3 linked regions of the Macaca mulatta genome follow. The protein of the gene in region 3 purifies or fractionates together with the protein of the main gene of each other region. This does not show direct contact. Links are inferred from orthologs where the notes say so. Each region holds a gene or a part of one and is shown on either strand. Other genes may lie near its edges.

What was found.
Region 1: the proteins of RAB6B (region 3) and SLC12A4 purify together in Homo sapiens (co-immunoprecipitation; 3 studies listed by BioGRID and IntAct, with this or other methods). This does not show direct contact. The link is inferred for Macaca mulatta from reciprocal best matches to the Homo sapiens genes RAB6B and SLC12A4.
Region 2: the proteins of RAB6B (region 3) and SLC12A6 purify together in Homo sapiens (affinity purification with mass spectrometry; 4 studies listed by BioGRID and IntAct, with this or other methods). This does not show direct contact. The link is inferred for Macaca mulatta from reciprocal best matches to the Homo sapiens genes RAB6B and SLC12A6.

Annotation. Positions count from the first base shown.
Region 1 is NC_133425.1:63,540,327-63,543,975, forward strand, and holds part of SLC12A4 (solute carrier family 12 member 4), read right to left. Parts: intron 2,888-3,649; exon of another isoform or gene 2,873-2,887; coding exon of another isoform or gene 2,776-2,872; intron 2,450-2,775; coding exon 2,306-2,449; intron 554-2,305; coding exon 422-553; intron 1-421. UniProt on the Homo sapiens protein: Mediates electroneutral potassium-chloride cotransport when activated by cell swelling. May contribute to cell volume homeostasis in single cells. May be involved in the regulation of basolateral Cl(-) exit in NaCl absorbing epithelia.
Region 2 is NC_133412.1:11,449,095-11,452,743, forward strand, and holds part of SLC12A6 (solute carrier family 12 member 6), read right to left. Parts: intron 3,524-3,649; coding exon 3,282-3,523; intron 606-3,281; coding exon 391-605; intron 1-390.
Region 3 is NC_133407.1:36,883,939-36,887,587, forward strand, and holds part of RAB6B (ras-related protein Rab-6B), read right to left. Parts: intron 2,879-3,649; coding exon 2,767-2,878; intron 1,524-2,766; coding exon 1,430-1,523; intron 1-1,429. UniProt on the Homo sapiens protein: The small GTPases Rab are key regulators of intracellular membrane trafficking, from the formation of transport vesicles to their fusion with membranes. Rabs cycle between active GTP-bound and inactive GDP-bound states.

The sequences.
Region 1 (3,649 bases), on a different chromosome or scaffold from region 3:
GATCTTGTCTAGCTCAGTCACTTTACACAAGTTCCTTAATGTCCCTGACACTATTTCCTCATCTGAAACATGGGGATTATAGTAGCACCTGCCTCTTGGTTTTGTTGAACAGATGACATGTGAGAACCCAGGCCCACTGCCTGGTGTGGTACCTCGCACACAGTAAAGGCTGAGTACAGGCAGCTGTGTCTCCCGCCGTCATTCCTGAGGGCCTCCCTGGCCCTCTGTCCCTGGGGAGATTCTCATTAGCTCACTTCTTAAAGCCTCCTGAGCCAAGGCACTCAGTGCCCATCCTCCCTGCTCACCATGGTTTGCACCCACTTCCCCTGGTGTGCTCACCACCATGTGGGGAAACAGCCAATTCCATGGTGCTGTGTCTGTCTTCCCAGGTGTGGCCCCTCTGCTGCCCCACTCAGCTCACCTCGGCTGCCCTCCGGCGGGTGCCCTCCCCACTCTCAGCCTCCTCATGCTCCTTGGCGCCCTGGGTGAGGTTGGTGTAGCTGACGAGCTTGCCCAGAAGAGACGATACCTTTGGGCGGATGTCCAGCTCTTCCTGTAAACAGAGCCACAGGGCAAGATGGCATTGGGCCAGGCGGGTACCAGCTGTGTGAAGCCAGCTGCCTGATCCCTGGCCCTGTTCCAAGCCCTGAGACAGGCCTGGGCCTGATCCCAGTTCCTGCCTGGGGAAGCCCAAGCCATCCAACTGGACAGGTGTGGACACCACACCCCAGGACGTGGCACTCAAAAGGCCCAGCCCCGCGGCTGCTTTTCTCTACCCCACCTTGGCTACAATCACTGCCAGCCCATTTGTGAAAACCACCTGCCTCAGGGGAGAGAGGGCAGGGAAGAACACGCCTGGCAGGCGGGCAATGGCACACTTCATCCTGCCTGCTCTGTGCAGCCACCTCCCAGCTATGGCTGCACCTCTAGGACTCACGCCTACCCTCCCCACAAAAAAGTCACCCTAGTCACCTCAGGGAACAAAAGAGGGCAAAAGAGTGATGTCTCGGACAAGTGAAGTCTCTCTTGTCTGCTCAAACCCTGATCTCCCTGGATGGTCTTCCCCTGACCCCAGTCCTGTGAGTACCCACGTCAATCACAGAGATGGGATCCTGACCCTCTCATCCTCAGGCGGGGCTGGGCCAAGGCCTTCACTGCAGAATCTTGCTGCTTTCCCAGGTCAGGAGGCCTCCCAGAGCTCAGGCTCCCCAGCCCCACCGGGGTCTAGGCGATGATCCCTGCTCCTGCAGCCTTCTCGATGCTGTGCCTCCACCTGCCTCCTGCCCACATTTAGCTTTTCCCTCTCTGTCAGCTCCCTTCTGACCTACACACAGGGAGAAGTTGCTTTGGTGTGAGAGGGGAAGATGAGGGCCCTTGGGGGCATGTGGAGATTGAGGAGCCTCAGCCGGATGTGGTGGCTGACAGTGATAATTCCAGCACTTTGGGAGGCCGAGCAGGAGGATCACTAAAGGTCAGGAGTTCAAGACAAGCCTGGCCAACAGGGTGAAACCCTGTCTCTAAAAATACAAAAATTCCCCAGGTGTGGTGGCAGGCGCCTGTAATCCCGGCTACTCGGGAGGCTGAGGCAGAAGAATCACTGAGCTTGGGAGGCAGAGCTTGCAATGAGCCAAGATCACGTCACTGCACTCCAGCCTGGGGCAACACAGTGAGATTCCATCTCAACGAAAAAAGAAAAAAAAAAAAGAGAGATTAAGGAGTCTCCATTATTCAGCCATACAATGGCTGAATGCGTGGGTCAGAGTTTAGGAGCTTAAACTACATTTTAAATCCAGATCTCACTGCTCAGCTTGAGTCTGAAGAAGATAAAACTCAAGTACAGAGGCAGATATTTGGGAATCTTTCCACAGAGGTATCCCCTAAAGCTGCAAATGGACCAGGACTCGGGAAACTAGAGGGAGACAGAGCTGGAAGAGCCAACCAAGAAGGACAAGAATCCTCGGGAGAGCGAAGAACTATGGACTTGGAGAAGAACCAGGAGTGGAGGGAAGAGGAGAAATCCTGAGTTGGGAAATCCTAAGCGGGCTTTTCCTTGCTGAGGGGTTGTAAGGAAGTCAGAGGTGAACAGTCCTGGAGGTAGCAATGGGGGTGGGGTTGTGAGTGGCCTCTGGGAAGGCAGTTTCAGTTGAAAGGGCCAAGGGAACTGCAGCCCGGCTGCCATGAGAGCCAGGAAGACAAGAGGAAATGAGAGGAAGAGCCAGACAGAGGAGGGCCACGTGTCCAGCCTGACTGCTTAGCTAAAGCCTCTGTCTGCCAAACCTGTGACCCAAAATGGCTCCTCAGCTACCTCAAACAGTGCCAGGTTCCTGTCATAGTAGTCACTTCCTCTGGAAGCCTCCAAGGGGGAAAGAAAAGGGCTGCTCTCTCTGTGGTTGCCATGTCCTGTGAAGAGAGAGGGACAATCAGGGCCTGCTTCCTGAGCCCCCCCAGCCTGTGCCCCTTCCCAGAAAGCCAGTCCCCAAAACATCGTTTCTGTGGAGCACTTTGGAGCTGCAGTGTCACCAGGTTGGAACTCAGTTTCCACATCGCACCATGACAATGCCCTTGAAGGGCCAGAGATAGCCAGAGAGTGGCCAGTGACCAAAACCTGGGACATCATTCCCTCCAGAGAAGGGAATCCAGGTGAGGGAGCAGGCACCCTAGCACAAGCACGTGTGGACACTGAGGGGCGGGGCCTGTTGGTGGGCGGGGCTAGCCTTTGACCCGCCCCCAGATCCCCTCCCCGCCCCAGTCCCTTTCCCAGCCTTTCTGGAGTACCCAATGTGCAGGATACCAAGGGCTCGGTGTCCTCAGGGACCGCCCAGGCAGTGCCCTCCAGATACACGAAGCCCCACAGAGCACCTTCGGCTGCCATGGCCCGAAGGTGGCTGGCTGGCTACCCCACTATGCACTGCGCGGCGGCATCCTGCAGGGCAGCCCAGGGCATGCCGGGAGGCGGGGCAAGCCCTAGGCCATGGAGAGCAGAAGTGGATGCCAGGAGCCTTCTAGAGTCGCCTAAGAAAGTCGGACCGGTGGGTGTCGGACTGAGCAGGGAGAAAAATGGGAGCCAGGACTACAGTGGACAAAGGCAGCCAGAGGTCAAGATAGTCCACCATGTCATATTAAAGCCAGGTGAGGTCATGTAGCTCTTTGGACACTCTATGATATCTGCTGTGCCCTCCATGCTTGTTCAGGATCAGGAGTCCCAAGAAAAATCTGAAAACCCAGTAACACTCTGCCCCTTACATTAATGACATTAATGGCCCTTTAGTGAAAAGCCTTTGAAAATTACTCTTGGATTTTTGTGACAAAAAAAGTGTCTCCCTTTGATAAATCAGATGCTTCATTTTGTCAGAAAATGGCAGCTATACAGCTCGTCTTACTGCTCTTTCTGCTTTGGCTGCCAGGAATCTCCAAGCTAAATTTACTCTTTAGATAAAGTCACCATCTGTCTCATCTCAGAGTCCTTGCCCCCTTCCTCTGCATGGTTTTCGATCTTCCTGAGAGTAACAATCACTTGGGGAGACTCTTTTGTTGGCTATTGCTTCTGATTCTTTTGTGGAAGTTGGCTGGAAATCAATTGTAATTTATTCTAAACTCACGTACTGCAGCCTGCCCCATCACTGTTGCCTAGTCTTTCTGGGGAGACTGT
Region 2 (3,649 bases), on a different chromosome or scaffold from region 3:
TTAAGGAATGTTTCAGGAATTTAGCTAAGTTAGGAAGATACATGTGGATGTGGACATTAAAATAGTTCTATTCTGTCAGTGCAGGAAGAACACTGGCAATTTTACAAGAATGCACAGAATAATTTATCCTAAGATTAGAAAGTGATTTGCTCAACTCTGCTCTGAAATGGAGGTGAATTTTAGCAGACATCACTCTGTAAAGGAGTCCTGAATAAGGACAGCTTTACTAATGGAAAAGCAGAAATATGCTGAATTAAGAGCTGTGTGGTATGCTTAAGGAAATTAGCACCATGGCAGTGAATCTTTATGGACAGCAGAAGAATCTAAGATGACAAGGCCTATTTTCCCCAGAAAATAGGAAAAAACTTGTCCAATAACTCCCTAACTTACCTGTAATGATACCACTAGCCAATCCAGGAATGCCCTGGATTGAAGTGACATTATTGTGAACAAAGTATTCATCACAGGTGACATTGAAAAATTGACTCGAGTTACAGAAGAATCCCCATAACTTTGATGGGACTGTCATGTTGTTACTTTCCTTGGTTTTAGAGCAAACGTCAATGTGTCTTGATGAAAGGGTGCGGTTACCCAGCATGCAGACCCTAAGTGAAAAGAAATAGGGAGAAAGATCAAGTAAGGGAAAAAAACACATTACAAAAGAAAAAAAGGAAACAGGTTAGTAAAGGAAACAAGAACCCCATCTTTAAGAGCTTCTACTGTCATGGGTGGGAAGGGAACTAATGTTTATTTATTTATAATTTATTTTAGCACTGTGAATGGCGACTTACATTTTCTGCCAATTTAATCCTTACAGCAACCTCACAATGTATTAGAATTTCTATGTTGTGGATGGAAGCACTGAAGTTTAGGAAGTTAGGGAGTTAATTGAAGGTTAGGGAAATACAGTTATCTGTCCAAGGTCATAGGTGGTAGGTGGCAGTGAAGGAACTCAAATTGAAGAACTGTCTGAAGACATTATGCTGACTCATCTTCCAAAATTTTTGGCTAAAATTGTTAGGTCTAAAAGAATACTGAAGTTCTTTTGTTGTTCTTATAAAGAAAAAAGCACTCCTCTTTTTTTGGCCTAGAAAAGCCTTACATTCTTAACAAACCCCTTGAAAATGTTATGCTAAAGGTTGAATCTTCTGGCTACTGTTGCAAGGAAAACAGCTTGGCCAGAATTAAAAGGCAGATCCCTCTATGGCCTAAGAGAAAACTGTTTTTGAACTTAAGCCTAGACCCAGTGGGAGTGAGGGTAAGGATAACACAAATATTAACCTGCTGGTTTTATTTTTTTCTTTAACCCAGAGACACAAATATAAACAAAGGAATAATACATCCATAGTTAAAATACCTCTCAGGTCCAACAAAGGGACTTTTAAAATCTGTAAAATGATTGAATACATTATTATGAACCATGTACCTATTACTCAGCTTCAACAACTCTCAACATTTCTCAGTCTTGTTTCATGTATTCTAGATTTTTTGTCTTGTTTTGCTGGAATATCTCAAAGAAAATACCATGCATTATGACCGTGTACTAATCAAAAAAGAGGAGAAGTCCCAAAGGTGAACCTGAGACAAAATGGAATTTCCCAAATTGAGATATAACCAGAATGTCAGCTTTAGAAATTGTATGACCCTAGAAAGGACCTTCAGCTATATTACAGTCCCTAGATAAGCAGATTAAAAGTTTAAGATGGAATCTTCTTCTGCCATCATGTAGCGTGGCACAGAAGAAATACTGAATGGGGAGTCAGGAAATCACAGTTCATCTTCTTGCTCTGCCATTAATTAACTTTGAGGTAAGTCATTAAACCTATTGGAACTGTCTTTTTGTCTTGAAAAATCTTTTTTTCTGTAATCTGTTTAAATCAACATAGAACCAATGAGTTTGATCCTCAGATAATCCAGATGACTCTTCAAGATAATTCTGTAACAAAACTACAAATAACACTCAGTGCCAGCTAGTCCCTATGCCACTAGTCAAAGGGAAAAGGGAGCCTGTGAGTCACAGATCTGCACAAATCCATTACTACTTCAAAAAACATACTTTAAAGTACTTGCACTAGGGAGTTGAAGGAGGAGGTAAATGGTGAGAGAGTACTTAATGGGTACAAAGTACATTATTTGGGTAATGGATAAAAGCCCTGACCTAGGCTGGGCGCAGTGGCTCACGCCTGTAATCCCAGCACTCTGGGAGGCCGAGGTGGGCGGATCACTTGAGATCAGGAGTTCAGGACCAGCCTGGCCAACATGGTGAAACCTCACCTCTACCGAAAATTCAAAAATTAGCTGGACACGGTGGTGTGTGCTTGTAGTCCTAGCTACTCGGGAGGCTGAGACTGGAGAATCACTTGAACCCAGGAGGCAGAGGTTGTGTGAGCCAAGATTGCACCACTGCACTCCAGCCTGGGTGACAGAGCAAGACTGTCTCACAAAAAAAAAAAAAAAAAAAAAAAAAAAGAACTGGGTGTGGTGGCACATGCCTGTAATTCCAGCTAATTGGGAAGCTGAGGCAGGAGAATTGCTTGAACCCAGGAGGCTGAGGTTGCAATGAGCCAAGATTATGCCACTGCACTCCAGCCTGGGCAACAAAGTGAGATTCCAACTCTTAATAAAAGCCCTGAATTCACCAATACACAACATGTGCATGTAACAAAATTACACCTGTACCCCCATAAGTTTATACAAATTAAAAAAAATAAAATCAAGGTTGAAAAAAGTAGCTGTATTATAGTATGTAATATTACATATATAGAGAGATGCATGCAAATTGTACAGTATTTCCCTTTATGACTAGTCCATTACAATACTGACAGAAAAAAAAATTTAATTAATTAAACATTTTAGGTAAGATTTTAGGTTTCTTTTGACTCCCCTGATTTTTCATTAGTAAAAGAAATCCAACATTTAAATACCTTATAAAGGCTGCTGGCAATAACTACACTGTCTGCAAAGCCCTTTATGAATAGTTCAAAATATGTATAATTAAAAAAAGATTATGTACAATTATCAGGGAGAAAAAAATCTAATATCTGAACATAAATTATGGTTACAGTTACTAGTTCTATGTTTGGGACATAAGAAAGAGGATGAACAGGACATAGTTTGCTGGGAGGCTTCCTGCCTAGATGGGGAAGGAACTCTAAATGGGCTTATCCAAGAGGGAAAATCTCGGAGAGACTCCATGAAATTCTGACTTAAAATTATCACACCACCAGATATTTTCAATTACTACCCAACAAAGATGGCTAGGCAGAGAGACAGACACGTACGGGAAGTGTGGAGGGGCAAAAGAAGACTTGATGGCTCCAGCATAGATGGCCAAGATGGACACAATGACACAGGCCAGGAAAAGTGAGGCAAACTTGTTCACATAGCGTACGCCGATAAATACCACTAATACCATAAGGACCAAGAAAGCTGTGCCATAGACACGCATGTTATTTAGCATGGCTGCTGATTCCTTGAGTGCATCATCACTGCGAAAGATGGCAGCCCGGGGGACGATATAGACCTGTTAGGTAAAATAAAGGAGAAAATTATGTTATTTAGAAAGAATTAAGTAAAAAGGCTGTATTCGTTTGCATTTACTTTCATAAAAGAAAGCAAAGCTGAGAGACAAAATGACTGGGGAGTTAGC
Region 3 (3,649 bases):
TGGCCCCCGGGAGCAGGAAGGACCATGGCAGCTTCAGCCCCACACCAAGGGAGGCTGGGAACAGATGGGAGTGAGTGGAGCCCTGCTGAGGGCACTCCAGTTAGGGTGGGGTACTGAGTCCTGGAGCTTTGGGGCCCCCAGTGTCACACAGTGTCCCTTCCACTCTGTCTCTTCTTGTCGCTCTGCCAGCCCACCCTCCCCATTGCCACCAGCACTGTTCGCACAGGGCAAACCATCACTGCATCCAAAAGGCCAGTGCTGCATACACAGCTTGCCGAGGGTTCCCAGCAATGCGGGGGGCAGGGCAGAAGCGAACGCCAGGCCAACCACACTCCTCATCCAGAGTCCCCTCCCCACACCTCGGGCACCCTGCAGCCACACCTGTGCTGCTCCCCTGCTTGGCATGCCCTCCCTCCTCACCACCTCTCCAAGTCCTATTCGCATCCCCAGTGGCAGGAGTTCTCAACCTTTCCGTGAGCCAAGGACCACTCTGGCAGTCTGGTGAAGCCCATGGACTCCTTTGAAGTATGTGAAATCAATGACATAGGATGATAAAGGGAACTACTGAGTACTGGAATACACCTCATCGACATTCGTGCTTCCTTATGAACACATTGAACAGTGAGAACTAGTAAGAGATCTAATAACTACTGTGACACTGAAACACTGATGCATGTAAAGTTCAAGGTATCTGCAACACTGTGAGGTGATGGGAAGGCATCTGTGATTTCTACTGGTGGTAAAGCCATAGGCACCACTAATACGACTGAGCGTCATTGCCTACATTAATCATTGCAGGACAAACAGACATCCTTCAGTGCTATGGATGGGTTAGTGGTTAGTGAAGATAAAAGGTGCAATGTTTTCCAGCCCTGTCTGCTGACCTGCTAAATTCCATCCATGGACCACTCAGGGGCCCTCATGCTGCAAGGCTCGGCCCTAACTCCACTGCCTCGCCCTCCTGTGAGTTCCAGCCACACCATGGTGGGCTCTTTTCTCCAGGCCTGAGTTGCCCTCCACAGCCCTAAGCACTTGCTAAGTGCAAGGCATGAACCCCAAATGCTGATCGGATTGAATTTTCCTGCATGCGTCATCCGAAGTGGGGTGAGGGGCTAGGGAACCACTGCTTCCCTCAGCCACCTGGAAGCTGGTGGCTGGACACTCTTAGGGACTGCTACGTGGGCTGTGATTGGCCACTGCTATGGTGGCTGGTGACTTACATTCTCCAGTCGCCATGCCCGGAGTGCTCCTTCCCTCTCTTGGGCTTTACCAGCTCCAGAAATTAGCTCTCCCCGCCCTGGGCGCATCTATGGGTGTTCTGGTTGGCTGCCCCAACCCCGCCACCAGCCCCTCAGGGCAAGGCAGGTCTGAGCCTGAGGCTGACCACAGGACCACACCGTGCCAGGCCCGGTGCCAGGTGTGTCCTCACCTGCTTCACATTGTAGCCAGTCTTCGCGCTGGTCTCAATGAACATGACGCTCAGTTCTTTGGCGCGCTGCTCCCCCTCCTCGATGGTTATCTGCCTAGAGATGAAGGGAAGGGGGGAAATCAGTTCAGCAGAGGAGCAGCCCCTGGCAGAGATGAGGAGGGACCCGCCCAGCATGGCAGAGGGAGCCCACCAGGCCCTTGGTCAGCCCTGAAGACAGGCTCTGATCCCAGGGGTCCCTCCTGGGCACCAACCATAGTCTCTAGCACAAAGCGAGCACCAGGGAAAAGCAGGACACTATCCCCTTCCCCCACTCCTTCCTTCGTGTCTTCTCAGCTTCAAAGCAGGCCCTGGGGTAGGGATGCCCCACGCCTGCCTTTCCCAGTAGTAATTACTGCAGAGCTTGTGCTTGTGAAGAGATTCAAGCCACACAGTCCACTCTGGGTGGTGCTATTAGTCGCATTTTCCGTATGAGAACACTAATGCTAAAAGTGTCTCCCCCGGGGCCACAAAGCTGCTTAGCAGAGAGGGCTCCATGATGGGGCAGGCAGAAGTGGGTGAGGGTATGAAGGGCCTAGGTGCCCTTTGTACTGGGATTTGAGCCCAGTTTTCCTTACTTTAAGGACAGAACTCTAGTAAAGCAGGCTCTAATTCAGATGATTCCTCAGGTGCTCAAGGGACACTGAGGAAGCCTGCACTGCTTGCTGGAGTCCATGGCCTGTCACTTTATCTGCCCAAGTCAGGGTCACGTGAAACGAGTGGACAGCGTACACACATGGCACCTCAGTTCTCCCTGTGCATGGAGGGCAGCATGGAGGAGACTCTTCAGAGAAAGCTTCATGCCAGATGCAGCCACAAACCAGGCTAAGCAGGCTACAGCTATAGGTTTGTGGTCTGAATGCTCTGCATGCTCACACCTAGGGCCCAGGGTGTTCACACCCCCATGCACACTGGTGCAGACACTTCACAGGCACAGACAGTTCACAGTACACACACTGGGGCTTAGGGAACTGCTGTGTCTGGGGCAGTGCTGTGGCCATGGCAGGGTCTTAGACCATGCACTGCTGGGCCAAGCCAGGTGCACAGGGCTCTGTATAGACAGCACACGGAGGATTGCCCCGCCCCTGCCTGGTGGTGGAAGACAGGGCTTCACAGATGAGACACCCAGGGGTGAGAGTCTACCAGGTGTTCTCAAAGCTCCTAGTGTCTCAAGGGACCTTTTCCGGATGCATGGTCAGAAGCACAGACACACCACCCACGCATCCCAGAGCTCCCCGTCCAGGAGCAGCTGGAGAGGAGTGGAGGGTGGTACCCTGCACCTGTGTGCCCTTTGCACCTACCTCTTATCAGCCAGGTCCGTCTTGTTGCCCACCAGCATGATGATAACATCACTGCCCCTCTCTGTCCTGACGTCGTCGATCCACTTAGAGGTCTGTTGGAAGGAGTTGAGATCTGGAGGCAGAAAGTGAGGAAAAACTGAAAGCCAGGGCCAGCCACCAGCAGGAGATGGGAAGGGGATGTGTGAGCCAGGAGCAGGAGGGAGGGTGAGCATGTGCCCTCAGATACCCAGGGAGGGTATGAGCTCAGTCAACACAGATCAGCCGGGTAGGGCCTTTCAGAGGGAACCGGGCCCTGCCCTGCAGCCCTGGGAGCCGCCTGCACTGTTTAGCCGCCCTTTGTGGGAGAGGAATCACCCCATCTGGAAGATCATGGCGTCATGATTTGCTACATGAAATAGTGGCTTTAGGGGCCCGCCTGAGAGTCAGACCTGACTCTGGGGATTCAGAGTGGAGTGTGAGAACTGGGTCACACGTGTGTGCATATACACACACACACACACACACACACAACTTGGCAAGTTTGGAAACAGTGAGGGGTGGGCAGAGGAGGACACAGAAGCCTCTAGGGAAGGAAGGACCCTACTGAGTGGCCTCCCCACCAGGGGAGCTCAGGAGAGTTAGGGGAAGGCCAGAGGGATTTCTGAAGAGAACCCTCAGGCTCTGCAGGTGAGAGGAGGGGAAAGGTGGCCCCAGGACTAGTCAGGGGAGCCAGGTGCAGTCAAAAATCCAGGAGAGACAAGGCCACTTCTTGGCAGCCTGACCTCCCTCAGCTGCCATGACAAGCCTTGCAGGGCAGAGCAGCTCTAAGGCAAAGCCCACCACTCCGCAGCCTGCACACCCAAGGGGAGGGGAGGCAGCTGTCCTCAGAAGCCTCAGTTTCACA